7 linked regions of the Nothobranchius furzeri genome follow. The protein of the gene in region 1 purifies or fractionates together with the protein of each later gene. This does not show direct contact. Links are inferred from orthologs where the notes say so. Each region holds a gene or a part of one and is shown in the gene's direction. Other genes may lie near its edges.

Region 1 (4,120 bases):
TTAAAGCTTTAAACAGGTTCTCGGATGCTTCTGGTCTCACAGTTAATAAGAGAAAATGTGAAATATTAGCCATACATGATTTAGACACCGTATCAATAGATGGCATAGAGGTTAAAAAAGAAGTTAAATATTTGGTTATCACATTAAGCAAATCCTCTAGTGAAAGAATTTCAAAAAACTTCAACCCTAAAATTGAGAAATCTAAATCTGTCTTTAATTGCTGGCTACAGAGGGATCTTACCATTATAGGTCGTGTTTTACTCTCCAAGGCTGAAGGATTATCCAGGTTAGTATACCCAGCTTTATTTTTATATGTTGATAGGAAAACCTGTGCAGCTATTGATTCACTCTTATTTAAGTTTATTTGGAAACATAAAAATGAATATGTAAAGAGGAAAACACTTATTAGACACATTTCAGAGGGGGGTCTTAATGTATTGGATTTCCAAACTATCAACAATATATTCAAAATTAATTGGTTAAAACATTGTCTTTCACATAATAATGAACCATGGTTTTTTATTCCCAATTTTTTTGGTTAACAAATGTGGCGGTTTAAAGTTCTTGCTTTCATGCAACTTTACCTCAGATAAACTGCCTATTGAACTGGCCAACTTTCACAAACAAGCCCTGGACACTTGGAAAATGGCTTTCAAACACAACTTTTCCCCTCACACATGTACTTTATGGAACAATCAACATATTGCTCACAAGAACAAGACTCTGTTTTACAAAGACTGGTATGATCAAGGTGTTATGTTTGTGTTTGATCTTTTGAATGATAACGGGACCTAGCTACCTATGATGAATTCATCCAACGAAAGGGGTTCAACACATCTCTCGCTATGCACTCTAGAATCCTCCAAAGCATTCCTGTTCATTTACTGTCTCTTGTCAGAGCTCCTGTTCAGTATACACCTTACACAGGAAGGATTCCTGCACTGTGTCTTGGTGGAAAGCTTCTTGAAGAGCACTCATGTAACAATGCTCACATTAGAGCCGTTTTCACCTCTCTATATAGTCAGGTTCCAAATTCATTACATCGTTGGAGGGTAATGTTTCCTGACATCAGTAGCAATGCCTTTTCTGAGGTTCAGAAATTTTTTGTCCCCAATAAAGTTAAAGAAATACACTTGAAAATCTTACATAGATATAATCCGTGTAATGAATTTATTAATAGATTTAGACCTGATGTGTCCCCTTTATGTTCCTTTTGCAAAACAGGTGTTGAGTCTCTTACTCATTTGTTTTATGGTTGTCCTTTAGTTGTACAGTTTTGGAATCAATTGTCTTCATTAGTTTGGGATTCTCATAAAATATTGATTACTTTTAATGAAAGTATGGTCTTATTCTTAAACGTTAAATGTAACAAGGAAGTTAACAATGTAATAAAATTGCTGTGTCTGTTGGGTAAATTTCACATTCATAAAGTCAGATTTCTACAGACTATACCAAATGTAACTTTATTTTATATTGTTCTTAATTTTTTTCATGAGACTGTACGTAGAATTAGTAAAAACAAGAAAGCTGTGAAAATATGCAACTTGATGAATTCTATTATGCCCCATATTACAAGGTAATGTATTAGTGGAATTTTGTTTTATTTTATGTTATTTTGTTTGTATATAATTATTTATGTTTACTTTCATTAACAGTGTTTTCTTTTTCTTCTCTGTTTGTCAATGTATCACACCCTGTACATCGATGTTGTTTTGTCAATATATTATGTCTTGTCTGCTGCAAATGTGTCAATAAAGATTGTTTAAAAAAAATTGCACCGTAGAAGAAGAAGCGCGCTGAATTGTCGCAGGATTCAGCGCAGCACCACCTGCGGTTGTTTGCTGCAGTTAGCGCCATGGCGGCAGTGCGCAGTTTACAGGTTAAATCAGACAGCGGTTCGGATCGCTCGGAACCGAACTCAGACTCCGAGTCAGATCGAGATGCCCGTGAGGCCGAACCAATGGAGGTGGAGGAGGGAGAGCTGGAGGCGGAGGACATCTCGGTTAACCGCTCTCTGAAGGAGCTGCTCCCGGTAAGTTTCCGACTAGGCCTCGATAGACCGGGGACTCGCGTGTGCCTCCCGCCGGCCGAGCAGCGGGAGGCGCCGGCGCTGAAGCAGCGGCTCTCCCCGGTTAGCAACCGCGGTTTCTGTCTCCGTTTAATGGCTTTGAAGTCAAAGGTTTCGTTAATGAAGAAAAATCACAATTTAAAATCTACTTGTTTGTAGTCCGAGAGATGAATAAAAGCCAGGAGTTTGTTTGTTTCTGTCAAGGGTAGATGACACAAACGTAAACAATACAAGGTGAGGGCTCCCCCCGGGAAAGCTCCTCAGGCTGATTCTGGATCTGCTGTTTTCAGGACACCAGCCGGAGGTACGAGAACAAGGCCGGAGCGTTCATCACCGGGATAGACGTGAACTCGAAGGTACCGGAACCGGACACACCTGAGCTGGAGAAACACTCCTGGATGTTTTAGTGCATCCTGCGAGCAGGTCTAACAAGCTGAGGCTTCTTCATGATTAGGAGCACATTCTGGGAAGGGCGAGCTTTCATCTGAGAACTAGTTGTTCGAGCTTCTCCTCCTGTGCCAGGTACAGCGGTGCTTCTCATGTGACACACAACAGCTTGCCATACCTCATGATGGATGGGAGCAAGGATCAGCAGTGACCACCGCTCAGATAAAACCACGTCATTTTAAACATTCCAGATGATGAAGGCTCAGACTAACAGATCTACGGCTTACTGGTTTGAGCAGGGTCGTCAGTCCACAACCCAATCCTCCTCTGACCGCTGGGTTAGGGTTAGGTTGCTCTAGATAATCGCCACCCATCTTCGAGTTGTCTGTTGGGAACGCCGTCTTCTCTGGAACAGCAGCTGGTAGTTCACTTATGCCCATGTAGCCTCAAGTACCCAGAATGCAATGCTGTGATGTCACGTACCACCTGTACTTCAGCGACAGCAGGTGCTGGTTTGTTGTTTCTTGTCTGTTCCTGTTGATTGTAAATGTTGCTCTCATAAAGGACAAGCTCAGGTCATTTTGTGAAATCTGAACATAATCAGGAAACACTTTTAGCTCATATTTGATCATTGTTAATGATTTCAGTTGTAAAAGTGATCTTCAAGTCTCGGGTATCTGATTGTAGGTTTTGTTTGTCAGGAAGCGTTTGAGAGGAAAGAGAAACGAGCAAGACGTTTCCACTTCCGCTGTGAGGAGAGCGTTGGTCAGAGGAACGTCTTCCTGGATAAAGATGCCATGAAGAAAGGTGTGAGCCGGTGTTCTGTTTCAAATCATTAACAGCAGTCTGCTTGGGTTTATGGAACTGTAGCTTTCTTCTTCTGTGGTGCTCAGCCATCTTTAAACTGCGGATGGAGGCGATCCATGTGAGTGGTGTGGACGACATGAGCACGCAGGATGTGTTCGGGTACTTCAGGGAGTATCCTCCAGCCCACATTGAGTGGATCAATGACACTTCCTGTGAGTAACGAACATGAGAGTAACAAAATGCGTTCTGCTCCAATCAGAGCAGAGGTCCAGGACAGCAGTGCTGCTCAGCAGCATCTCACCTGTCCTGTTGTCGCCTAGGTAACGTAGTTTGGCTGGATGATGACACCTGTATCAGAGCTCTCATCAACTCCAGCCAGATGCCCACACCAGAGGTTGTTGTCACGGAGACGGAGTCCAGCGAGCAGCCGGGCAAACGGAACAAAAGTGGGTCTGAGTCACGACTGAACTGAACATGTCATGAAGGTGTGGTGCATTATAGGTAATCTAATCTGTTTTAACATCACAGCTCGACGGGTTCGAGGGTCGGAAGAAGAGGATGATGATGATGATGATGAAGAGGAGGAGGAGGAGGGAGAGGTGGAAGAGGAGGTGAAGAAGAATGGTGATGAAGAAGTGGACCAGAACAGGAAGGTGGATGGTGGCCAGGTAGAGCGTTTACTGTGATGTCACAAAGTGACTCAGCAGTTTGTGTGTCACCAATGACTGACTCAGCGGTTTTTGTCAGGTGGACGACTTGTCAGCAGCTGAGAGGGAGTCGCTGCTGAGGAACGAGCTGAGACCTGCCATCAAACCGTTTAAAGGAAACAAACTGTTTCTGCGCTTTGCTACACAAGGT
Region 2 (4,105 bases), on another chromosome or scaffold:
TGCCAGATTATAGTAGGAATAATAGCCTGGCAAGCCAGACTAAATAAATGTATTATTTAGTCTGGCAACGCTCCATTGACGGCTCGCGGTTGTGGGGCGGGTTCTACCGTTGCCTACTGGACAATGAATGTGACATACTCATGTTTCACTCTGTTGCATCGTCCCACCCACCAGGCATATAGAGTGCCCTGATTGGCCCACAAAGCGGATATAGCTCTGTGATTTGTTCACTAAGCAGATAGAGCACTATGGCTCACCATTATGGACCAATCACAGCTCTTTATGTGTTTGAAACCCCTCTAGAGAGCTGTGATTGGCCAGCCAGAATGCTGTTGGGGCTGCAGAGGTTGCAGTGGAGTGTTGCTAGACCAAACTTTGCAAAGCAAGAATTTGGTCTAGTTCACTAGGCTATAGGAATGCTAAAGTGAATCCTCAATCCCTAGGCAGGTCACATAAAAGCACTATAGACAATATGGGCAGTGGATAACAAAAAGAGCACATCACAATATTTATTACTAATCTAATTTATTACTATTCTATTACTAATATTTATTAGTAACAGATTAAACGGCAACAGTTACAGGACTGATGTGCTTCTAGTTAAGCACTCCCTTATGGAGCGTGAGAGACAGCACCAGATCTACCTGTTGGAGAAATTTTTATTTATTTGTTCTCATTTTACATGATTAAACTTGTTAATACAGAATATCTAGTTCAATTTCCATGTTAGTGTCATCTACTAGTCTATTATGATCTATAAGACCACACAGGTTGCTGGACACAAAAAACTCAAGCTGGAAAACAAACTGAAGACAAATTAAATTTTAGATAAGGACAAAATAGAATATTTGGACTTAATTTGCTTGTGAATATTCAGTAGAAATGTGCATGCAGTAAACTTGTGTTTTTCATTTGAGTCACGTTGTGGGCTTTGCCATGCATGCATTATCTCTCACATATTTTTGTTCTGTATGATGATCACACACCTGTCTCTTTCAACATTCTGCAACTGGCTGTCACACCCGTGCACCCTGATGACAGGGTTCTTCTGAACTTGGAAGTATTTCTTTGTTCGAGATTTAATTCCTGATTTATTTTTTACTTTTGAATAAGTGCTTCTTCCCTGATAATTGAATGCATTATCATTTATTTGATGTATGTTTAGACAGCTAACATCTACCGAAGCCAAAGTCCTTGTAAATGCAACTTAACTTGGCCAATAAATCTGATTCTGATCGATTCTGATATGTCAGAAACAAGCCCTCTCTTTACTACATCTCCCACAATCCTATGCTTGATCATACGTCATATCTATGCGTCTTTCTCCGTCACCACCCGATTCGTTTCATATTTATGTCGATGGTTTCTCCCGCGCTGGCTCCATTGTCCCTTGTTTCTCCGCGACTTTAACGGAACCGGGAGGATTTTGAGGCAGAATGGGACCCGTAGAGGTAAATATTATAGCTATCGCGCACACGCTTCTGACGAAGAGTAAATGTTTTAAAAACCAGCTGCAGCCCTATTCAGTGTTTCTCTTCTTCGTATTATTGTTAAAATCTCATTAAACTGTTTACTAGGCAAACAAACATATATGAGGTATGATTTGTACAGGTTTTAACTTATTTCTTTGCTGGCGGAGATTTTATTATTTAGGAAGAAACATTCAAGCTTTCAAAATAACGATGTTCTCTGATATCATTAAACATTTATAAATCTGAAAGTGTTACAGATATTATTGTAACCAGGTTCAACCTGATGTTAGAGTCTGTTTTTAAGGTAGTTTGAACTGATTTGATAATCCGTTTCAGGAAGACACATTTTCCGGGCTTGGTTTCTCCGTGTCACGTGACATGTTCCCACCAATGACCATGCGCCCTTGGAAACAGCCATAAAACCCGCACACATCCTCCCGACCATGTCGATGCTCCCGACGCGGATCTGAAAACAGCCGATATGATCGTTCATGTGTGTCTGATGTTGTTTAAATAAGGATTAACTCGATCTCTTCATGTCCGCAGCTCCTCCACATGTCGGTTTTCTCCCAGAGCTTTTCTCCCTGCGGACGCTTCCTGGCGGCCGGAAACAACTACGGAGAGATTGCCTTGTTCAGGTGGGACAAACCAGCGAAACTGGTCTCGCCTTTCACCAGTCTGAGGTTCACACCTGCCGTGTTTTTGTTTCAGCTTGGCTGCAGCTCTAAGTCCAGAAGCCACCACCGCTAGCCAGAAGCCTGTTCTGACGTTTACAGGTGAGTCCTCAGAGAAGCTCTTCAATCCCACCTGTGCGCATTCCGAGGAGTAACCAGAGCCGGGAGACCTGGAGATGGACTGTCCAATCTCAGGGGCAGTAGTTGCTGAGGTAGTCAAACGACTACACAGCAGCGGAGCCCCGGGGGCGGATGAGGTTCATCATGGGTATCTCAAGGCTATGGATGTTGTAGGGCTGTCGTGGTTGACACGCCTCTGCAACATTGCGTGGTCACCGGGGGCAGTTCCTGTGGAGTGGCAGACCGGGGTGGTGGTTGCCATCTTTACGAAGGGTGACCTGAGGGTGTGTTCCAACTATAGGGGGATCACACTCCTCAGCCTCCCTGGAAAGTTCTACTCCAAGGTACTGGAGAATCTCAGATAGAGGAGGAGCAATGTGGTTTTCGTCCTGGCCGTGGAACTGTGGACCAGCTCTATACCCTTGCAAGGGTGATGGAGGGGGCATGGGAGTTTGCCCAACCAATCCACATGTGTTTTGTGGATTTGGAGAAGGCTTATGACCGTGTCCCCAGGGGCACCCTGTGGGGGACGCTCCAGGAGTATGGGGTGGGTGGCTTTCTGTTAAGGGCAATTCAGTCCCTTTACCAGAGGAGCGTGAGTTTGGTCTGCATAGCCGGTAGTAAGTCGGACCTGTTCCCGGTGAGGGTTGGACTCCGCCAGGGCTGCCCTTTGTCACCGGTTCTGTTCATCACTTTTATGGACAGAATTTCTAGACGCAGCCGTGGTGTGGAGTGTGTCGAGTTTGGTGGCAGGAGAATCTCGTCTCTGCTTTTTGCGGATGATGTGGTCCTCCTAGCTTCATCCAGCTCTGACCTTCAGCTCTTGCTGGGTAGGTTCGCGGCCGAGTGTGTGCATAACTGCAGACGCTGAGCCGATCTGTCGTGGTGAAGAGGGAGCTGAGCCAGAAAGCCAGGCTCTCGATTTACCGGTCGATCTACGTCCCAATCCTCACCTTTGGTCATGAGCTTTGGGTAATGACTGAAAGAACGAGATCGCGGATACAAGCGGCCGAAATGAGTTTCCTCCGTAGGGTGGCCGGGCTCAGCCTTCGAGATAGGGTGAAGAGCTCGGACATTCGGGAGGGACTCAGAGTAGAACCGCTGCTCCTCCTGATCTAAAGGAGCCAGTTGAGGTGGTTTGGGCATCTGGTCAGGATGCCTCCTGGACGCCTCCCTGGGGAGGTGTTTCGGGCATGTCCTGCCGGCAGGAGGCCCCCGGGTCGACCCAGGACACGTTGGAGAGGTTACATCTCCAATCTGGTCCGGGAACGCCTTGGGGTCCTGCCGGAGGAACTGGTGGAGGTGGCCGGGGAGAGGACGGCCTGGAGCTCCCTAGTTGGGATGCTGCCCCCGTGACCCGGATAAGCGCAGGAAGACGACGGGGGCCCAAGGCGAACACAGACATGAGGCCCCCTAAATTTTCGACAATCTTATCTTTAACTGGATTTGTGAAACTTCCCTCTTCTGACATGAGTTATTTTCACTTTTTATTAGTCCTCCTCTTTTTTCCTGTCTTTCTCTCCCTATGAGTGCTTTCTTCTTCCTGTCAGTGCTCCTGTGTCCTTTCTTTTTTTTCTTCTATTTTTTCCATTTTGGTCTGTTTTCCTCCCTTTAAACATTTCCGATTTTCTTTCCTTTTCTGCTTCCTTTTGATGTTTACATTGAAAAACAACGTCACTTATGGAAGTGAAGATAAAGGCTTTTTTAAAGCAAGCAGCATCTTTCTCTTATTGGAGCCACTAGGATAACTCCATTTCATGCTTCATGTTTTGACTATCGCTTAGAATTTGTTGCGAACGCTCCCGCCTCTCTTCTTCTTCTTATTTGTGGTCTTATGGC
Region 3 (3,716 bases), on another chromosome or scaffold:
TGCCCATGTGAGCGTTAAAGTCCCCCAGCAGAATGAGGGAGTCACTGCAAAGAGCGCTTTCTAGCACCCTCTCCAAGGTCTCCAAAAAGGGTGGGTAGTCTGAACTGTAGTTTGGTGCATAAGCACAGACCACAGTCGGAACCCGTCCCCCCACACATAGGCGGAGGGAGGCTACCCTCTCATTCACTGGGGAAAACTCCAAAGTACAGGCACCAAGATGGGGGGCAACTAGTATGCGCACCCCTGCTCGGCGCCTCTCAGTGGGAGCAACTCCAGAGTGGTAGAAAGTCCAACCCCTCTCAAGGAAACTGGTTCCAGAGCCAGAGCCATGCGTTGAGGTGAGTCGAATATATCTAGTTGGAACCTCTCAACCTCACACACGAACTCAGGCTCCTTCCCCACCAGAGAGGTGACATTCCATGTGCCAAGAGCCAGCTTCTGTAGCCGAGGATCAGACCGTCAAGGTCCCCGCCCTCAACTACCACCCATCACACACTGCACCCGACCCCTTTGGCCCCTCCCACGAGTGGTGAGCCCATGGGAAGGGGGACCCACGTTTCCTCTTCGGGCTGTGCCCGGCCGGGCTCAGTGGGTGAAAGCCCAGCCACCAGGCACTCACCAATGTGCCCTACCTCCAGGCCTGGCTCCAGAGGGGGACCCCGGTGACCCACGTCCGGGTGAGGCAACACGTTTTCCATTTATATAATTCATCATACGAGGTCTTCGGGCTGCTCTTTGTCTGATCCCTCACCTAGGACCTGTTTGCCGTGGGTGACCCTACCAGAGGCAGAAAGCCTCAGACAACTTAGCTCCTAGGATCATTGAGGCACTCAAACCCCTCCACCACGCTAAGGTGGCAGCCCAGGGAGAGGCTATTTTCTAATCCTAATCTAATCCTATTTGATATGTGCCATATATTTCACATATATGTCTGTGAATTTTAAAGACACGTTTTGATGTCAAGAAAGTGCTTATTTTTGAACAGCTGCAAAAGTTTAGGGTTTTGTGTTAAAAGATGTGTACAATGCCTGTCCAGTATGGGAAGCTGGTGACTGGATGCTGAACCATCTTGCTAGACCAGCATTGTATGCTGATCTACCACTAAACCAGCACCAAACACAACATATGCTGTTTTTATGAGCAGGGCTTTGCTCATACATAATTGAGGCGTTTTTTTACACAGCAAAAAGTGATTACAGCATTCATTTTGCCTTTGAAAAATGTATTCTACCGTAATTCAATTTCATCACTTGATTGTGTAATTTGTAATTGATTGTGTGATAAAAAAACCTAGTGGTATTACTAAATTGCATTTAAACTAAATCTCTGTGTCACATAATCACTGTAATCACTGTATACTTAAAATCCACATTATTTAACGAAGATGAAGCGAAAAGATCACAACATGCAGTAACGTCCTCTTACCAGATAAGGCAGTAACGAGCTCAGCTGTGTCTGAGTTGCCTAAAGACAAAAGATCAATCAGTACCAGTAGAACGGAAGTAGTAGAAGAAGAAAAACAGCAACATGGGAGCTGTAACTGATGGTTTGTGGCTTTATCATTAACTAATTTCAGCACTTAAGTTACTCTTTACTTTTGTTTTCGTCTAAGTTTAAAACATTGTAAATTGCGCCTTATTATCTGGAAAAATACCCAGAAATGCTACCTGTAATAGCGACGTTAGCTAGCACACTTAGCATAGATGCATTATGTTTTCAACGCTCTTCAGCTGCTTTATTGCATGTTCCACAGATGAGGTGATTCGAAAACGTCTTCTCATTGACGGTGACGGAGCTGGAGATGACCGCCGAATCAATCTGCTGCTGAAGAGCTTCACCAAGTGGTGCAACTCACCTTCTGGGACCCTAGAAGAAGGGTACGAGCTAGCAATATATCTGTCTCCAGTTTTTGCTTGTAACATCTTGAATGCCGAGTACACAACTGCAGTGAAATGCTGAACATTGGGCTCTTTGTGTGTAGATTCACTCAGTACCAGAGGATGGTGGCTACTCTGGCTCAGTGTGAGTTTTCTATGGGAAAGACGTTGATGGTTTATGACATGAATCTTCGTGAAATGGAGAATTATGAGAAGATCTACGCAAACATAGGTAAGATCGGCTTTGTTTTCAATGTCACAGAATTTTTTGTTAATTCTTTTAGTCATACATGCCAAATGGCCTGTATTTTATAGAGCTTTCTAGTCCTGGAACCCCCCACGGCGTTTTACAACACAACACAATCAGACATTTACACACACATTCACACACTGGTGGTGATGAGCTACATCGTAGCTACAACTGAGCGGGGCTCGAACCTGCACCCTTCTGATTATGGGGCGAGCACTTAACTCCTGTGCCACCATCGCCCAATTAACACTAATCAAACTTTTTTCTTTCGCACCTCGCAGAACAAAACATCACATCTGCACATGAGAAGATCACAGAATGCAAAAAAGAAATTCTGCGTGCCAAGAGAATACGAAAAAATCGCCAGGGTAAGGACATTTTAACATCTGTTGTATTTACAGAAAAATTACCAGATGTGGTATCAAATGTGCGTTGTCAAAAGGATGTAAACTTTTTTTTAAGTATCTGTTCTCTGTCTCTCCAAAGAATATGATGCTTTAGCAAAGGTAATCCAGCAACACCCAGACAGACATGAAACACTCCAGTAAGTCAGCCTATCGATAAAACATGTCAAGCTCCCCTTCATGTTCAATAAAGTGCTCATTTTTGTTTTACCTTCCAGGCAGTTGGAGGCACTCGATAAAGAACTCCAGCAACTGTCTCACATCAAAGAGAACGTAGATGCAAAGGTAAACTCAAACACAGCGGCCTAATGTTGTTAAAGTATCAGATTTAGTTGTATTTTTACTGACTTTTTATGCCATGTTTGCATTCTCTTTAGTTGGAGTTGAGGAAGAAGCAGTTTCATGTTCTTCTTACTACCATTCAGGAGCTGCAGCAGACACTAGAAAGTAAGTAGCCACTTGGTTATACAGACAAACTGTTGTCAGAGCTGCCCTCATCGTCTATCCTGTCTTTCCTAGATGATGAAAAGTCAGATAGTGACGACCACAGTCAGGAGAGTCCCATGGAGAATGGGGATTGAACACATAAAGAGCCCAACTGAAGGAGTCACAGCTTTTAATTGAAATTTAGTTTGTCTAAGAATCCTTTTTTGTATGTATTTTTGAATAAAGCTGTCATCTTGGAGTATATCTTTAATTCTTATATTCTCTTTTCATTAAAATAATCTCAGTAAAAATGTAACCAAAGCTTCCAGGCTTTTAAGAAAATCAACTGAAACTCTGATCAGAAAAGAAATTTAATACGCGTCAGTCAAGGACAGAACAGTTGTTGAACATTCATATGTGCTGTATTTTCTCTGGAAGTTTCTGCACTATAAGTGAGAGTTTGAATACTTGTAAAATCTAAGTGTCATTAAACCCAATTATCATTTTTTTCATACTAAATTATCATTTTTTCATACCAAACTATCAAATAGTTTCTGATTTAAAGTTCACAAAATTACATTCTTCTGAGAATAAGACGTCTGTAACAAGAATTATGGTTTTGCTCATTTATTTAAAAATGAATGCCAAAATTTACTGATGTAGTAAATAAACCACAATGAAAGAAAGCCTCTGACTTCCTATGTGAATGATCACTATGTACTTTGTTGCAAACCCCTGTAAATTGTTTTAACCGAACCA
Region 4 (4,289 bases), on another chromosome or scaffold:
GCTAACATGTTTTATTGATACTGAGTAAATTCTAAAGGCATTTTATTTTTTATTTATTTCAATTATTAGAGGGGGCTATCCAAAATACGTGGAGAAGGTTCTGTCCTCTCCCTTTTAAATCACACTAACTGATAAACTATGTTATTTGGAAAGCTAGGTTGAATGTTTCTAGCCGGACCTGTAAAAGTAAGACATGTCTGACAATGTCAAGTAGGCTCAATGATCTCAAAAGCAAATGGTTGATTGCAGTTATTACAAATAGGCATGCAGTGCCAGGTTTTGGCTGCTTTTTCCCTTGAAAGATCAAATAATTGTTTATCTGAAGTGTTTTGCAAAATTTTCATATTTTAAAATTTTCTTGAGCCAGTGTGTGCTAAAACAACCCTGTACAGGGTTAATGAAATGTCACTCAGACCCCGACCACCCTCTATGGCCAGAATGTCGCACTTGCAACTTCAGAGTTGGACTTGTGGAGCTGACATGCCTGGTGCTGCAGTCTGCTTCCTGCATGTTTTAGATCATAAACACTGCTGGTTTGGTCAATTTAGTGATGAGCTGCTCCTGTAGAAATTAAGGAAGGATGGGGAGACATTATTATGGATTAAGGTGTTTAAAAAGGTGAATGCACAGTTTCACTTTTGGTTTTACTAACAGAACACTAGGGGCTGCTAAAAGCAACCCAAAACTGGTTAGTTGTGCAAAAAAAAAAAAAAAAAAAAGCAAAAGTTTAGAAATCTAAGGGGTCAGTAGCCATCACCAGTTCTGTGTAACTGCTTAAAGAGCAAGTCACCCCCTACCAGAGTATTACTCCGCTCCCACTTCCTGTTTGAAAAATGCAACAAATTCTGTTGCCTAGCAGACCAAGAGGGCGGGCCCGCTAACAAATACACACACACACAACGACATTGTGACATCATATGCTACCAGCTAACGTTCTAGGGTACCCCTTTGCCAATAACGATGGCAGATTTAAATTCAAATGCAGTGCAGAGTTTTTACCTGACAACGGCACAACACTCACAGTTTTAGGCAGAAAATTTAAATTTTAACTTAAATGCACAAAAGTGCAAAACTACACGTGTCTGCAGCACGGTTAGATACGCATTTATATAGTTTATCAGAAAAAAGTTGATCTGGGAGTGTCTTGCTCTTTAAACACTTAACTATATTATTTTAAAATCCTTGACTTTGTGAAAGTTTCTTTTAAGAATTGATGATTGATGTGGTTTAGTTTTTCCCGGTTATTTCTTCAGTTTACAGTTTTAGTTTCGATCAAATGTTATATGTCATATTTGTCAAAAAAATATTTATTTATTTGTTCTGTATTTTACCACATCTGTGTAGAACTTTTGCACAATTCGCACATTTTCCTGTCAAGGTTTCTTTTAGATACATGCTCCGCCCGGTTCCGCCTCATCGTCGACAGTAGAGGGGATCACGTTCACGTACTCACGTCAGGCTTACGTAGAGAACGTCGTGTTCTACTACTTGTGTTTAGCAGCTGCTACAAGAATCAGACACCGTTGAGCCTTGAAAGGGACAGGGAGAGGGACCGACCGTGTCTAGGGTGTAACATTCTTAATTTGTTCAAAGTTTAGCGTTATTGGGGCAGCAAAATGACCGATAAGATGGATATGTCTTTAGACGACATTATCAAACAGAGCAGGCAGCAGAGAGGTGGAGGCCGGGGAGGAAGAGGCCGTGGCCGCGGAGGCACAGGCAGCGGCCGGGGTGGAGGCGCTGGGCGACTCGGAGGCGGCGGCGGAGGCTTTGGAGGCCGAGGCGGTGGATCCGGCCCCATGAGGAATCGACAGAACCTGAGTCGCGCTAGAGGCAGACCTACGCCTTACAGCAGGGTATGAGAATGTTAGAGGAATAAGCAGAGAAATGTTTTCATATTGTGTCCCTTCTCCCGCAACCCAAATGTGTAACGCACGTCGAGCTTCAACAGCCTACGGAAGGAGTGGAGGCCCTCAGCGCCATTTTGAATCCAGCCCCGCATTGTGAAGCTAGTCGTCAGTGAGTGCTCAGTGAGAGGTATCCTGGCCACGGTGGTGAAAGAAACCCACTTCGTCAAGAGTATCACTCGAAAGTGTGTTTTCACTGCTTGTCGGAGCGGGATATGTGCTCAAGTTCCCGCCAGCGCAGCGACCAGGCGGCCTTTTGTTCGGGGAGTGGGTTCTCAAGCCCTCTGGTGGCTTTTTCTACCAGTTTGCCTGTTACTTGTGGATGGAAAAGCGGACTTTTACTCCTCTGTTAGTGCCCAAACAAAACCGGTTCTTCGTCTTTTAAAGTGTGATCGAGTTGGTAGCGAAGCCAAACAAAGCCCCAGTCAAAATGGCGTGGTTTCAAAATGGACGCTCACGCAGAGGGGAGATCTGGCCATTTTCACTCCTCATCCAGCACACGGACTCTTCCCCTACTGAGAACTGTTCTGAGGTCCAGGACACAAAGTACCAGCGCTGGAGACGCCGCTGCATCGAACAGGAGTCCCCGAGTGTCCCGAGGAGCTGGCTTTTCTGGAGGGAGGCGCAGATGGCGAGAACAATGGGCATCTCTGGTAGCTAGTCTGAGGAGTTTTACAGGTTTAGCATCAAGTCTGTGGGTTTGGGTTTAAGAAATATCTGTGATGGTAATACTTAGGTTTCTGGAAAGGCTCGTTAGTCTATTCTAGGGTTTATTTCACTAGAAACCCAGAACAGGACTGTTGAGTTTTGTTTTTATGGTTTTGTTTTTAATCCATTTACTACATCAAACTTGGATCTAAAGAATACATTTTTATTTTAAGTGGGCTTTAATGGGACCATTTTTCTTTAGACAGTTGATTAGAGTGATTGAAACAAGTGGCTCCCAGATCTTTTAACTTCTGATTTACAAGATCTGTGATTAAAAACCTTCATTATTCATGACGGACACGTACAAATAGCCAATAAGACAATTACATTAGGACAGGAAGATGACTCCATCCACTTTCACCAAGACTAAACGCTTGTCAGTTGGTCTGTTTAGATGTTTTCTCTTCATATATGTCAATTATTTTTAAATTTGATAATCTCAACATTGGTGTCCTGTCCTAACTTTGGGAACCAGTGAGTTTGAACTAGGGATGCACCGATACGATACTGGTATCGGCACCGATACCAATACCAGTATCGGTGAAAGTTAACCAATACCAGGAACCGATACCAATGCAGTTGCTTGAAAATGGCTTCACTGTAACTTGTCATTTCTGTTCACCTAATATTTTAGTTTTGTGATGATTTCCATTCATATATTTTACTTTTTATCTACCTCACAGTCTTTTCCTGTTGAAAGCAGAGAAGAAAGTAAAATCTGCATTCCAAATCATTGCATTTTTTTTTTTTTTGTGTGGTAGAAGTATCTGTATTGGTATCGGCGAGTACTAAGATCGGTTTGGAAAAAAGTGGTATCGTTGCATCCCTAGTTTGAGCATGTTTTTACTAACTTAAATCAGTATGGACTTTATTGTGATGTTTGTACACATTCCGATTTAAGATGGCCCAACATTGGTGTGTTAACGTTTAAAAAAGTTCAAAATTTGAATCGAAGCGAGACTACTACAAATCCCCTTGCTTTTGAGTATTTGTGTGCACGTCCCTTTGAGCTGATGCACTTGCTCGTTGTGACGGGGTGGGCAGGGAATACTGGGGACCCCCCCCCCTCTAAAGGGAGCTGAGCACCATGTTGGAAGTGGAGCCCCCTGCTTGCCCCAACAGCCAGCCGTGTGGACTCAGTGATGGGCAGAGGCAAGGGGATCCTGAAGTCAGCAGGTGCGTTCTCTTTCATCTGTTGCAGCCTAAACAGCTCCCAGACAAGTGGCAGCACGACATGTTCGACAACGGCTTCAGTGGCTTCAATGGTGCTGCTGGGGGTGGCGGGGGAGCTGGTGTGGAAACTGGAGGGAAGCTCCTCGTCTCCAATCTCGACTTCGGTGTTTCCGATGCAGACATTCAGGTACTCCAAAATCCGCGCTTCACTGGTTGGTTGTGTTTTATGGCTTGTTGCTGTCTTAGACTAATCTTGGATGTACTTTTTCAAGGAACTTTTTGCGGAATTCGGAACTCTGAAGAAAGCTGCAGTTCATTACGACCGGTCGGGAAGAAGCTTAGGAACAGCAGATGTCCACTTTGAAAGGAGAGCTGACGCTCTAAAGGCCATGAAACAGTACAACGGCATCCCACTGGATGGTACGCTTCAGACCTTGTTTACATTTTTCTGGTTTGACATGACTAAATAATTCAAACTTTCTTGAGTGTTCAACCCCCTTT
Region 5 (3,500 bases), about 22 Mb from region 1:
TGTTTGTACTGAAACCAGAATATGAAATGACAACAGGAGGCCGAGAAGTCTCCGGGAGCTGTTATAAAAAGCACAGCAGACGCTGAGGAGGACCTAGGTCTTCATGAGTGTCTTAGATGAATGTGTCGTCTCAAATTAGTGTCCACAAGATCTAGACTAAAGCAGAATATTGATATAAGCTAATCTCATGGCTCATGTTGGTTTTGTTCAACATCTTTGTCTTGAAAATGCAGGATGACATCATGAAAAGGTTTGTTTTTATTTTTTTGGGTGTTTGGCCTCATTTTAGGTTTCTGAATTTCAAGACAAGCCCCATTTCTGTATGTGTTCAACTAAAACTCGGTTCTCTAGATTACATTTCAGCAAATTGATCTGCAACATTTAGCTTTAGGTTTTAATATTATTCTCTATTTGGACCGTTTTAAAGTCTTTTATTGTAATTACCATCTAGATTGTTTCCTGAACAACCTCTGTTAAAAAAAAGGTTAAATCCAACCAGACTGATGTGCTAACAGCTAGTCAGAGTGCAGTCAAGACTAGTGTTGCTGCCATACTTAACTCTTGAACTGCCAGCTGTTTCCTGATCAGAAAAGCCCTTTGCTGCCAGCGTTTTTCAGCATTTTCACAGTTTTTGCCAACGCCAAAACAACCAAAACAAAGTGGAATCTCATCTCTTACATTAGGAAGAATCTGCGCGTTTCGAGCGTTATCCGTTCTTTCATAATCCGTTGTTGAATTGTGATCGGCAGAAGCTTTTCCGGTTTGCGCCACACTTTTTTACAGCAACGGCCCAAAACGATCTCCTAACACATGGATGTTCTGCTTCCTGATCACGTGACGTGTGATGTACGCAGATGAAGATCGGCTTTAGAGCTGAGATGTTTGTTCACATGGTGCGGGGGCTCGTTCCGACGCTCACACAGTAAAAAAAATGCAAATGACTACTTAAGTTGTCAATGGCAGTGAATGAGTTAAATGGTTACTGTCTCTTTAAGGTGATTCAGGTGGTCAATTCTATTTCTTGATTCTAATAATAAAGTATGTTTTCACCTTTGTTTTGTTATTGTGGTGTTTAATGTTTTGTGTTGTTCTGCTCATGTGTCGTCGTGTTTAGCACCACACCAACTTTAACTCAGTTGCCCGGTCCAAGAGCAGAGAGAAGGAAGTGGAGAAGAAAGAGACAGAGATCACACAAGGCCGACCCAAAGAGAAGAAGGAGGAAAAAGAACGAAAAGAAAGGAAAAGAGTGAGCGTCCTGCAAGTGATTGTTATTGTTTATCAGCCACGGAGCTGAAAGGATCACCTCCGTGTTCGTTTCTGTTTCAGGATCACATCGTTACAGACCGAGAGGCAAGCCTAGAGTCCAAGCGTAAAAAGGATGAGAACGGAACCAGTGAGTCATTGTATTTATTTTTTTCCCTCTCTTAAATTTCAGATGCCTTTGCTTTAGAAGTCAATTAATTTTAACTTCCATCCATCCATCCATCTTCTGAACCCGCTTGTCCACGTAGGGTCGCGGGGGGGCTGGTGCCCATCTCCAGCGGTCAATGGGCAATCAGGCGGGGTACACCCTGGACAGAGAGCCAGTCCATCGCAGGGCAATAAATTTTAATTTCTTAAACTAAATGTTTTCTTCCCAGATTCGGCTAAAAACAGTCCTTCCTGTGACTCTTCACTGTCACCCGAAAAGGAAAGAACCAAAAGATCCAAATCATCCAGCAAGGAGAAGGCCGAGTCGGTGAAACCGGAGCGAACTTCCTCCGGAGGCAAAAAGGTCTGTTCAGCTCAGCACCGTTTACATCAGGGATGCTTCATACTGGGAAAATTCATGTAGCCATTTATTTCTAACTCTAATATAAAAAATACAGAAACTTTTAGCAAATGCCTCGTGTAGCACTTCAAGTTTTACCGCACTGCTGCCATCATGTTGGTAACTAATCTGTTGGTGATTTTTGTACAGCGGGATATAAATTCCTGGGTCAGATCGGCATTTTTTGGCAACCTAATTAAATCATAACGTCCCTCTGAAGGGCAAAATCTTCAGCTATTAGCCAACAGCTCAGAAGTACCACCCCTTTTCTCACAAATAGCTGTTGACTGACGCATCAGAGCCAATGAAAATCAGAAAACAGCAATATCTTACATAACCAACGCCTTGTGGTCTGCCTCCTCAAATGGGCTAGGAACGATTGTGATGGGTGTGCCAGGAACCCTTAACAGTAGACAAGAACATGTTGAGTACTCAGACATGGCATCAGAACCGGTGATGTGACGAACACATCAGTGTGATGTTGATGTTCAGACGTGACGTCATGCAGCTGTAGTTTACGTCCTAACCAGACTCCATATTTAATTGCAGGGTTTGTCTATTAGGCTCAGTTTGGGTCTGTTTTCAGTACTTGTCTAACACGGAGGGAGAAAGCTAACCAGTTTAAACTCCTTCTTGTTCTTCCTGCAGGAGTCCAGGCATGAAAAAGAGAAGAAGGATAAGAGGGACAGCAGCAGTGGGAAGGAGGAAAAGAAGCAATATCCTTCATTGTAGACTCGGTGTGTGTTTATTTTTGCTCCGTTCACCTGAACCAAAGCAGCTGTGGTGTCCTGATTTGTTCTGGGTTTAGGTTAGGACATTTTTCCTGTTGCTGCGCCCAACACTGAACTTGGTTCACTTTTTGTTTCCTTTATGAGATTCTCTCTTTAGTTTAACTTGGCTCATTTCCCCCACCTACCTCCCCACTCATCCGTGATGTTTGTGCTGAGTTACCCAGACAAACAGCCCCACTTCTCCCCAGCTTTATTAAACTAGTGTCTAAAAACGGTTTGGTGTCATTTCCTTTGGAAGAACTCAAACCTTTCTGCTCTGTCTCAGCTGTTTTTGACAGTTCGTAGTTACAGATCACGGTTTCCCTTAACAACCACACCCATAAATCTGACAAGCACAGATAATGTGCACTAATCAGTGAAGGTAAGGACCACTCAGCTGGTTACAGATCAGCTCTACTGCTGCTAGATTTGAATCTTCTGACGCGTTTCCTGCCCTCTTCGACCCACGTGTCCAGCAGCAGATCTGGTGAAGCTGTGCTTCTGCCTGCGAGACTCCTGTAACTCCAACTGCCACGTCGATGACCTAGCACCCTTTTTTTTTCTTCTTTTTGCCCACAACTTGTTAGCAGTAGTTAAAAGCCAGATCATCCCTTATTTACCCAGTTTCAGATGGAAGCTTTCATTTTTCTTTATTAATATTATTATCAGTATGGACACAACATGCTGCTGTAATCACAGTGTTATTTTCCCAGAAATGTGGTTACTGTATGTAAAACCCCCATGGTAGCATCTGGTCAGATTCAAAAATCCCAAACTTGGAAAATGTTGCTTGTTGTTTAGTTTTTGTACTTTATCAGGCCTTGCTTTTTGCTCGTTTTATTAGATTTAATGTGCTTTCCATTCTCACTTACCTCATATCTTTTTGAGAAACTTTTATTTATTTATCTGCTCCTTTTAAT
Region 6 (4,042 bases), on another chromosome or scaffold:
GTTTTATGTATTAAGAGGATTTCAGTATAATTTGTACAAGTCTGTAAATTTGAAACACTGTCAAACTGTGAATAAACACTTATGTTACTTATGTTGTTAGACTGATTGATTTCAAAGTAGAAAATTATATATTTAGGTCCTGTAATTTTTAGTTTGATGCAAGTTTGTTCTAGATGGGTATCAAATGGTGCTGCATATGTAACTATTAGAAATTAACTTCTGATTGTACGTGATGCAAAAAAACTTACAGATGTTCCACTTAAGAATTAAGTTTATTGCCACAATACAAGGTAACAATCAAAAGAGTGAAAAATATGAACAAAGATCTATGCAAATAGATTGCTCTTATAGGACTGAAACACTGTGCATCGTGTCAATATGATAGATCTATAACTGCTTTATGAATACATTTGCATTAAATGGAGAATTACACTTACAAAGAAAATAACTAATATGGAAAAATGTCTGCAAATTTATAATATTACATTTACATTTTTGAAATGACTATTTGTGGAATTTCTTAAAGTTACAGTAGCTTTTAGGACAGTAGGTCGCGCTGTGTCCTCCGTTAGCGCTAAATGCAGTGCTTTTTGACTCTTGGGCTCTAGATATGAGACCCAGAGTGGCGCCGCCATATTGGATGGGCCTCCACTTTTTTAAATATTATCATTAAATTCTTATTAAAATTTCTCGTGAGACAACAACACATAATAGAAACATACAAGGCATCTTTAGTAACAATAAAAGAAAAACAAATAAACTTAAAAAGAGGTACTTATATCACAAAGTAAAAACATTGTTACAAGATTAAACATTTTTCGGCAGCATGACAAATGGCTTTTGCAGTTGCATTTGAATTTTTTATACGAGTCAAAGTGGATAAGAACATATGGAATTCATTTGTGAAACAGTTCTTGTTGCCTCCTCACTCTAAAGTCAATCCAGAGTTATCAACTATGCCCGGCAAAAACATCACGTGGATTTACTAGTGCCTTTTCTAGCCTACCTGATAATATTTTTTATTTTATTTTTATTTATTTCGTTTAATTATATTTATATTTTAATTATGCCATACATTGTGTCTGATTTGGTTAAAAAGCTTGATATAATGTGTTTTTAGTTGGGTAAGCAGCAACTTCATCAGTAGATGTAAATGCACCGCAGGCGAATGGAGACCCATCTAAGATGGCAACCGGGCGCTACGGCAGCTGAAATAGGCAGCGCCTGTCCTTGGAGCGTCTACGATTACGTATGTCTGTGTGTTGGGCTTCCGTCCTAAATCGACAATTTGTATGTAGAGGGAGTTCTCGTTTTTACGTGTACTATTCTATCAAGTAAAGACGTAAGTTTGGACCAAGTGAGTATTTGTCGGAAAACATACTATTTATAACCACAATGAGCGCATAATATCCGTCAAAATATTAGTTCTATTAGTTTAGTATACCGATGTTAGCTACAAGCTAACGGTTATTAGCCCGTGTTAGCTTGCATGCTAACCGTATGTCATTGTTACTAAAGTGATGTTTTCATCGGTGTTTTTTTATCGGTCTAAAACTCTTTATTTTCACATTCTAATAGCCATGTCTTCCGACGTTCTTAAGAAGCGGAAATCGAAGGTTCTCCGCAGTGAAGCAGGAACCCCGGAGGTGAAGCGGGGACGTGGAGAGGCGGACCAGCAGGTAGACAGAATCACTCAGAACTTTGTAAATAAGTGGTGTCCAATCATGGACATGTAGGCCCACTGTCCAGCATCTTTGTTTCAGCAGCATCTAGTTTGAATGAATGGATAGTTAGCATGCCTCTGTAAACTTGAAAACACGAATCTGTTAAACAGCAGTGGATTTGAGCAGGGAGATAACTAAAACATGCAGAATCGTGGCTCTCAGTGACCAGTATTGGACTTCATTGCTGCGATGAATTTACTAATTGAAGCTTTAATTGTACTTACTGTTGAGTTTACAAATATACAGAACATTGGCAGTTAAAAATGTCAGAGTTTGCACATTTTATTTTATGTGATGATCAATCAAACAGGGACATTTTCTGCCTCTCAGTTCACGTCCTACAGGTTCCTTAAAGTCAAAGTTATAGTTTTTATAGGTGTTTGAATATTGAATTGCGGTTAATTCATCCACATAGTATTACACAAGGTTAAATCTGTTTTTGTGGTAACAATTGAACATCTCATGTTGAACAAGTTCACAGGAATATTCACAGCACATTATGTTTTTAAACACTAGGTTGCATGTTAGCAACCCAAAAACAATAGTGAGGTAGGTGTGTAATAACTTTAGAATACTATGAAGTAGTATATTATTGATGGTTTTATTATTGCATGCTTGTTTCTTTTCCCAGGATGTTCGTGTCTATAATGAGGAGGTGGAATTGGATGGCAGGAACCCTGAACAGGACTTTGATCAATACAAAGAGTCATGTGAGGCTTTATCCAAACTCATGAGTGAGATCCAGAGGATGAAAGCCTCTGGTGCCAAGGAAGGGGTAAGAGCCATAATCTCTACAATACATCACAGCAGTATACAACTTTCCTTTAGTTTCTTTTTCAAACGTTTCCTTTTCTGCTGGAAAATCTCTACTAAACATCTGTTCCAGATGTTTCTTTTATTGACTTTTTCACATGCCATATCAAAGCTGTAAGATCTGAAGTTAAGTGTATGGGTATGAAAGTAAATATCCATATATATATATACATAAATGTTTCTTTTTAAGAGTATGGATGTCGAGCAGAAACGTATGCAAAGCTGCATCCTCTTCATGAATCTTAAGAAGCTCAACCGTCTAGCTCACATGCGACTGAAAAGAGGCAGAGACCAAACACATGAGGTAATTTTCACAAGTCTACTTTTGAACTGTGGAAAAAAACTGTTATAATTTAAAATGTTTTGTTTACTTTCTGGAAAGTGTTTGTTTGTTTTGTGCTGATTGCAGGAGGAATGTTTAACAAGAGGCACCTTTTTCATTTTAACATTCAACCACAGTGAAGGCTACAGTCAATGTGCAATACCAGTTTAGTTTTTGTGTTCTTTGTTAAGCTTTGAGTGTTTTACTTCAAATTTGATTTACATTCATTAATATGATCAAATGCTGAGTTTTGACAAGCATGCATTTATTATTTTTTAAAGGGTTATTTTTTTTGTTACTTTACAAATTTCATTGGTGATTACTTTTTCTGTTTCCAGGCTAAACAGAGAGTTGATGTGCTCCACCTTCAGCTGCAAAATCTGCTCTATGAGGTTATGCATCTTCAGAAGGAGATCAGCAAATGTCTGGAGTTCAAGTTAGTACTAAATTCTTTACTTGACTTCAGCCTTTAGTTTTTTCAACACTTTTTATTTATAATTTAAGATGAAATAATCAGTTTTATTAAAAGTGTTTAAGGATGTAACAACATATCTCTATAAGAAACCACTAAACAATTTGTTTCTTTTTAATTTAACATTCTCAGCACTACTTGAAAAGTATCCTGTCATGTCTAATTAAATTCTCCGTCTCTTAACAAGATCTAAGCATGAAGAAATTGACTTGGTGAGTGAAGAAGAGTTTTACCAGGATGCCCCGCCGGAGATCTCCAGGCCTTCTCTCACAAAAACCGATCCCCACCAGCTCACACTAGCACGGCTGGACTGGGAGCTCGAACAGAGAAAGAGGTACAGAACTTTACCACGAAATAGTACACATTTGTACTATTGTGGTTACTTTTTGCTGTTCGGTGTAGTCTTTGTCTGGCAGAGAGCAGCTGATTAAAGTATTTTTTGTTGGAAACAGGCTAGCTGAGAAATACAAGGACTCACAGGCCACAAAGGAGAAAATTCAGAAGAGCATTGAAGTGAAGAAAGAGCATCTAAGAAGCTTGCAGCCAGGACTGAATGCTATCATGCAGGTAAAAATAACAAAAACAGATTTTTAATGAAAATTTTACGCTTCCAAGTGAAACATGTCCGCTTTAAGATAGTAGGAGGTTGCATATGATTGCATACAATATTTTATAAATGTAATTATATGTTTCTACTTGGTCATCTTTTAT
Region 7 (4,262 bases), on another chromosome or scaffold:
AATTGGAGGTATATTTTTGAAAACTCGTTGCATAAAAGCTGAACAAATTATCTAGGGAAGTTTAATTGAACAAAATAAATAAATTATTTAATTAATTAATTAAATCACCCATTTTAGGTAGAATGTAGAAGATTTCTCAATCTTCTTGCCCTAATCACAACCTCAAACCACGCACAAATCACTTTTAAGAGTGCCTCCCAGCACAATCTCCAAGTTTCTCATCGTGCTTACTCCCTTTCTGCTCTTCATCAGTTTTTGGCAACAATCTGATGAACTCTGAGTAAGATAAGGGATGGGAGAAAATAGGTATTAGTAAATCACTCCTCACTTCCCTTTTTCATGAACACTACAACCACACACGTGAAGGAAATAGAGCCTCTCCTGCTTCCATGTGACACTAAACGCCTCCACTTCACAAAGTCATTGTTCTTCTCTTAACATCAGCACAGCCACCAAAACACTGTCACAAAAAGGTTACAAACACCCATCAAAAGGAGCTGAAAAGGATCATCCTTGTATGTAAATCCTAGAGGTCTTGACCTGGATCAAAACAAGCTTCAGTGTTCTCACATGGGTTGAGTAAATCTTTAGTTTAATGATTGTTGTCTCAGGGTAATGGAGCGGTTATTCTAATGTCAAATCGGACATTGTTAGACAAGCAGATGGTATCAAAGGATTCAAGGCCTGCAGCACATAGCTGAATGTTCATTTGCATGATTAGAACATGTGGAAGTGCACACCAAGACAGGCACACATGCAAAACAAACACATTACAACTGCTGTGCATTGTGACCTGTCAAAGTCAAATATTTATTAACAAGAAAGGACAAAAATTATTTCGCTCTTTCCGTTAAAATAAATATAACTTTGAAATGCATACAATATAAACAGAGTGACGTTATTTTACAAGTATTCAATGGCTGACACAACTTATTATTATTATTATTATTATTGTTGTTGTTGTTGTTGTTGTAATTATTATTATAAAGAAAGTTTGGAACATGACTCTTTAAAATAAAAATCAAGTGTAAGATTTTTTTAAGTGAGTCCTGGCCAAAAGGCAAACTAAACCATACAGTGGGGAAATTAGGATTAAAATAAATATTAATACTGTTATTTTCAGGAAGTAGAAATACTAATTTTAACTCACCATTTGAAGAAGGTTTCCATGCATCCATCACTTACAGCCACTCAGAGTTTGATGAATGTAAGCAAATTAAAAAATAATGAAAAACTTTAACAGCAACAATGGTGTACAACACTGCCATCGTGTGGTCAAGATTGCTATGCTACGGTTTATTTCCATTTTTCATCCAAAATGGAAATAAAAATGTGACTGACTGAACTATTTGAAACTAAATTAAAAAATACAAAGTTAGTTTTATCCTAACTCCGTTTATAGATAATATGTATTAATGTATAATTTTGTCAGATAATTCCCTTTACGTACAAAAACGCCACTTCATAACCGGAAGTGATTCGTTGGCGGTTCCGGTTTCAGAAGCGTAAAGATGTCTCTGTCCTCATTTAATTTTGTCGACGCTAAAGAGAAATTTTCGGTGAGAAGTGGCTTCTTTCTGTCATTTCCATCCATAATATATTTGTATGTAAGACAACTTGTTGATAAAACCGTAAAAAATCTTAACTTCACTACTTTATGGTTGTGCTTGTTGTACTAGTGTAGTAGTTAGCCAAAGAAGCTAAGCTAAAGTAAACGCTTCTGAACGGTCCTGTTGTTTACGAGGTTGAAGTTAGCTTCCGATTTGGAAATTGGCTAAAGAGCATTTGCACTCAATTTTATTTACTATGACCATCTTTAATCTGCTCTATTTAAAAAAACTACAATGCCTAGACAGTTCAAACCGGGACTGGAATATTCTAGACTAATAGCAGATTCCATAAAGCATAGTTTGTGATTTGTGAAACCTTTTTCAGATTTGTGAAACTTAAAATAGGCAGATTTTGAAGTTTCACAAATCACAAACTGTTTTATGGAATTTGCTATTAGTCTAGAATAATCCCGTCCAGGTTTGAACTGTCTAGGTATTGTAGTTTTTAAGATGAAGCAGATTAAAGATGGTCACCGTATATAAAAATTGAGAGTGGCCTTGGCCTTAGCCATTTCCCGAATCGGAAGCTTGAAAACGGAAGCAAACTTCTGCATCGTCTTTTGTTTCTCATTATGTCCTTTCCCATGCTCACCCAACCGTAGGCTGCAAGCACACAAGCACTAGCTGGTAAAACCTGCAAACCCCTAATCGCCGTGTTTAACCAACTCCCCGGCAAGTAAGTTGTGCTCCTGGGTCGAGGTTCCAGATCAAAATAATCCAGAAATACAAATTTACTACTTGTGTGTTTTTGTCAGTGAGACGGAAAAGAAGACCACACTGGATCAGGCTTTGAGGAGTGTTCTTGGTGACCAGATTGTAAGTTTAATAAGTTAGTTAATTTAAATTTGAAAATATGTGAGAATCGCTAATGATTGTTTCTCTCTAGCTTGAGCAGAAATCATGCTGTGATGACTATCTGTCTCTAATCTACCAGAGCATCAATGCTGTTACTGAGGGTATGTTATCACTACTGCTGAGGTGGATATTTATTTTAGATTAGATGATTTTGGATTTTAAACATACATGTTGAAAGGATCGCTTTGATATAAGTTTTGGTAAAACGTCTCTTAAAACAAATGACAGTGTAACATTTATTCTGTTTTTAATGCAGGTATCTGTTCTGCTACGACTCCTTTTGTCCTGCTGGGAGACGTTCTGGATTGCCTTCCCCTTGACTTGTGTGACAAAATATTCTCTTTTGTTGAAGAAAATGTCTCTACCTGGAAATCGGTATAATTACAGGCATTTTTTTTTGTAAAGGCAACAAAAATATTTCTCTGTTTTTGTTAGAAGGTTTCATTATTGTACCTGTGTTGTTTCTTTCTTCCAGAGCTCTTTTTACACAGCAGGAAAGAACTATTTGTTGAGAATGTGTAACGGTAAAAATCTTGTCTTTTTCTCTGTCATCCAAAAGACTTTCTATTCTCAGAAAGTTCAGGTGCAAGTGACTTTTGTTTCATCTGTACAGATCTTTTAAGGAGGCTGTCGAAATCCCAGAATACAGTATTCTGTGGGAGAATCCAGCTTTTCCTGGCACGTCTCTTTCCTCTGTCTGAAAAATCCGGTAAGAAAGTCAGTTATTTTTCTAACTTGAAGGGGAAAAAAATCAAAGCACTTTACAATCATATTGTAAACCTCTCAATTAAATAGATTTTGTGTGTGTTTTAATCCAGGTCTCAATCTACAAAGCCAGTTTAATCTGGACAACATAACCGTGTTCAATAAAAATGAACAAGAAAGCACTCTTGGTCAGAAGGTGAAGTATTGTTAGGTTAATTATTAGGTTAATGAGCTCATCCTTTCCATCCTGTTTCATCTGTTTTTTTGCTACTATGTTGACAGCACGCTGATGAAAAGGAAGACGGCATGGAAGTGGAGGAAGGAGAAATGGGGGAGGATGACGCCCCGGCACCGTGGTGAATGAAAACCATTTGCTGTATTTGCTCACATTTTCACCTTCATGAAATAATAGTACCCTTTTGTTCCTTAGTTCTATTCCGATTGACTACAACCTGTACAGAAAGTTCTGGACATTGCAGGACTACTTTAGAAATCCGTTGCAGTGCTATGAAAAAATCTCATGGATTACTTTTGTTAAGGTAATCCACCTCGGTGCAGCAACTCTGACCAATTTGACGGATCACTGTCAATATCCAAGATGAGGATAAAAAAATAAATAAACTTGTGTGTTGCTTTTGCTTTGCTCAGTACTCCGATGAGACTCTTGCTGTGTTCAAAAGCTACAAACTGGATGACATGCAGGCGTCAAAGAGGAAGTTGGAGGAGCTGCGAGCGTCTGATGGTGAACAGGTTTACTTTGCCAAGTTTCTCACGAGCGAAAAGGTGCAGAAAAATCATTAAAAATCTTTTAATCATGTATAAATAAGCAGTTTTTAACTGACTATGGCTGTAAGTCATATGTTTTTCTGTCTTAAAAGTTAAACTTCATTGTTTTGGGATTTTTTTTTTTTTTGTAATCTGCAGCTGATGGACTTGCAGCTCAGCGACAGCAACTTCCGGAGACACATACTGGTGCAGTACCTGATCCTGTTCCAGTACTTGAAGGGTCAGGTCAAATTCAAAAGGTGAACATTTGTGCAACTAAACAAATATCACTTGTTGGGATGGAATTAGTTCATGTTTATGCTTTTT

Evidence for each region.
Region 2: the proteins of ncbp3 (region 1) and thoc6 purify together in Homo sapiens (co-immunoprecipitation; 3 studies listed by BioGRID and IntAct, with this or other methods). This does not show direct contact. The link is inferred for Nothobranchius furzeri from reciprocal best matches to the Homo sapiens genes NCBP3 and THOC6.
Region 3: the proteins of ncbp3 (region 1) and thoc7 purify together in Homo sapiens (co-immunoprecipitation; 3 studies listed by BioGRID and IntAct, with this or other methods). This does not show direct contact. The link is inferred for Nothobranchius furzeri from reciprocal best matches to the Homo sapiens genes NCBP3 and THOC7.
Region 4: the proteins of ncbp3 (region 1) and alyref purify together in Homo sapiens (affinity purification with mass spectrometry; 4 studies listed by BioGRID and IntAct, with this or other methods). This does not show direct contact. The link is inferred for Nothobranchius furzeri from reciprocal best matches to the Homo sapiens genes NCBP3 and ALYREF.
Region 5: the proteins of ncbp3 (region 1) and thoc2 purify together in Homo sapiens (co-immunoprecipitation; 3 studies listed by BioGRID and IntAct, with this or other methods). This does not show direct contact. The link is inferred for Nothobranchius furzeri from reciprocal best matches to the Homo sapiens genes NCBP3 and THOC2.
Region 6: the proteins of ncbp3 (region 1) and thoc5 purify together in Homo sapiens (co-immunoprecipitation; 3 studies listed by BioGRID and IntAct, with this or other methods). This does not show direct contact. The link is inferred for Nothobranchius furzeri from reciprocal best matches to the Homo sapiens genes NCBP3 and THOC5.
Region 7: the proteins of ncbp3 (region 1) and thoc1 purify together in Homo sapiens (co-immunoprecipitation; 4 studies listed by BioGRID and IntAct, with this or other methods). This does not show direct contact. The link is inferred for Nothobranchius furzeri from reciprocal best matches to the Homo sapiens genes NCBP3 and THOC1.

What each region holds. Positions count from the first base shown.
Region 1 is NC_091750.1:26,050,512-26,054,631, reverse strand, and holds the start of ncbp3 (nuclear cap-binding protein subunit 3), read left to right. Parts: upstream 1-1,320; 5' UTR 1,321-1,855; coding exon 1,856-2,032; intron 2,033-2,358; coding exon 2,359-2,424; intron 2,425-3,156; coding exon 3,157-3,262; intron 3,263-3,348; coding exon 3,349-3,474; intron 3,475-3,582; coding exon 3,583-3,708; intron 3,709-3,790; coding exon 3,791-3,930; intron 3,931-4,009; coding exon 4,010-4,118; intron 4,119-4,120. UniProt on the Homo sapiens protein: Associates with NCBP1/CBP80 to form an alternative cap-binding complex (CBC) which plays a key role in mRNA export. NCBP3 serves as adapter protein linking the capped RNAs (m7GpppG-capped RNA) to NCBP1/CBP80.
Region 2 is NC_091745.1:30,134,782-30,138,886, reverse strand, and holds the start of thoc6 (THO complex subunit 6 homolog), read left to right. Parts: upstream 1-1,305; 5' UTR 1,306-1,436; coding exon 1,437-1,451; intron 1,452-2,018; coding exon 2,019-2,110; intron 2,111-2,183; coding exon 2,184-2,248; intron 2,249-4,105. UniProt on the Homo sapiens protein: Component of the THO subcomplex of the TREX complex which is thought to couple mRNA transcription, processing and nuclear export, and which specifically associates with spliced mRNA and not with unspliced pre-mRNA.
Region 3 is NC_091743.1:56,272,747-56,276,462, reverse strand, and holds thoc7 (THO complex subunit 7 homolog), read left to right. Parts: upstream 1-1,440; 5' UTR 1,441-1,527; coding exon 1,528-1,546; intron 1,547-1,753; coding exon 1,754-1,877; intron 1,878-1,981; coding exon 1,982-2,109; exon of another isoform or gene 2,110-2,408; coding exon 2,409-2,495; exon of another isoform or gene 2,496-2,613; coding exon 2,614-2,671; exon of another isoform or gene 2,672-2,749; coding exon 2,750-2,816; exon of another isoform or gene 2,817-2,908; coding exon 2,909-2,978; exon of another isoform or gene 2,979-3,050; coding exon 3,051-3,112; 3' UTR 3,113-3,216; downstream 3,217-3,716. UniProt on the Homo sapiens protein: Component of the THO subcomplex of the TREX complex which is thought to couple mRNA transcription, processing and nuclear export, and which specifically associates with spliced mRNA and not with unspliced pre-mRNA.
Region 4 is NC_091752.1:50,607,405-50,611,693, forward strand, and holds the start of alyref (THO complex subunit 4), read left to right. Parts: upstream 1-1,489; 5' UTR 1,490-1,616; coding exon 1,617-1,856; intron 1,857-2,120; exon of another isoform or gene 2,121-2,353; coding exon of another isoform or gene 2,354-2,560; intron 2,561-3,816; coding exon 3,817-3,975; intron 3,976-4,060; coding exon 4,061-4,208; intron 4,209-4,289. UniProt on the Homo sapiens protein: Functions as an mRNA export adapter; component of the transcription/export (TREX) complex which is thought to couple mRNA transcription, processing and nuclear export, and specifically associates with spliced mRNA and not with unspliced pre-mRNA.
Region 5 is NC_091750.1:48,389,664-48,393,163, forward strand, and holds part of thoc2 (THO complex subunit 2), read left to right. Parts: intron 1-1,114; coding exon 1,115-1,246; intron 1,247-1,326; coding exon 1,327-1,393; intron 1,394-1,640; coding exon 1,641-1,774; intron 1,775-2,458; coding exon 2,459-2,526; intron 2,527-2,918; coding exon 2,919-2,943; 3' UTR 2,944-2,962; exon of another isoform or gene 2,963-3,056; 3' UTR 3,057-3,500. UniProt on the Homo sapiens protein: Component of the THO subcomplex of the TREX complex which is thought to couple mRNA transcription, processing and nuclear export, and which specifically associates with spliced mRNA and not with unspliced pre-mRNA.
Region 6 is NC_091757.1:44,994,552-44,998,593, reverse strand, and holds the start of thoc5 (THO complex subunit 5 homolog), read left to right. Parts: upstream 1-1,242; 5' UTR 1,243-1,357; intron 1,358-1,578; 5' UTR 1,579-1,580; coding exon 1,581-1,679; intron 1,680-2,355; coding exon 2,356-2,499; intron 2,500-2,727; coding exon 2,728-2,841; intron 2,842-3,197; coding exon 3,198-3,295; intron 3,296-3,518; coding exon 3,519-3,665; intron 3,666-3,783; coding exon 3,784-3,898; intron 3,899-4,042. UniProt on the Homo sapiens protein: Component of the THO subcomplex of the TREX complex which is thought to couple mRNA transcription, processing and nuclear export, and which specifically associates with spliced mRNA and not with unspliced pre-mRNA.
Region 7 is NC_091751.1:49,147,958-49,152,219, reverse strand, and holds the start of thoc1 (THO complex subunit 1), read left to right. Parts: upstream 1-1,462; 5' UTR 1,463-1,511; coding exon 1,512-1,559; intron 1,560-2,212; coding exon 2,213-2,286; intron 2,287-2,365; coding exon 2,366-2,426; intron 2,427-2,496; coding exon 2,497-2,566; intron 2,567-2,721; coding exon 2,722-2,840; intron 2,841-2,940; coding exon 2,941-2,989; intron 2,990-3,078; coding exon 3,079-3,174; intron 3,175-3,283; coding exon 3,284-3,366; intron 3,367-3,452; coding exon 3,453-3,526; intron 3,527-3,600; coding exon 3,601-3,709; intron 3,710-3,818; coding exon 3,819-3,953; intron 3,954-4,094; coding exon 4,095-4,195; intron 4,196-4,262. UniProt on the Homo sapiens protein: Component of the THO subcomplex of the TREX complex which is thought to couple mRNA transcription, processing and nuclear export, and which specifically associates with spliced mRNA and not with unspliced pre-mRNA.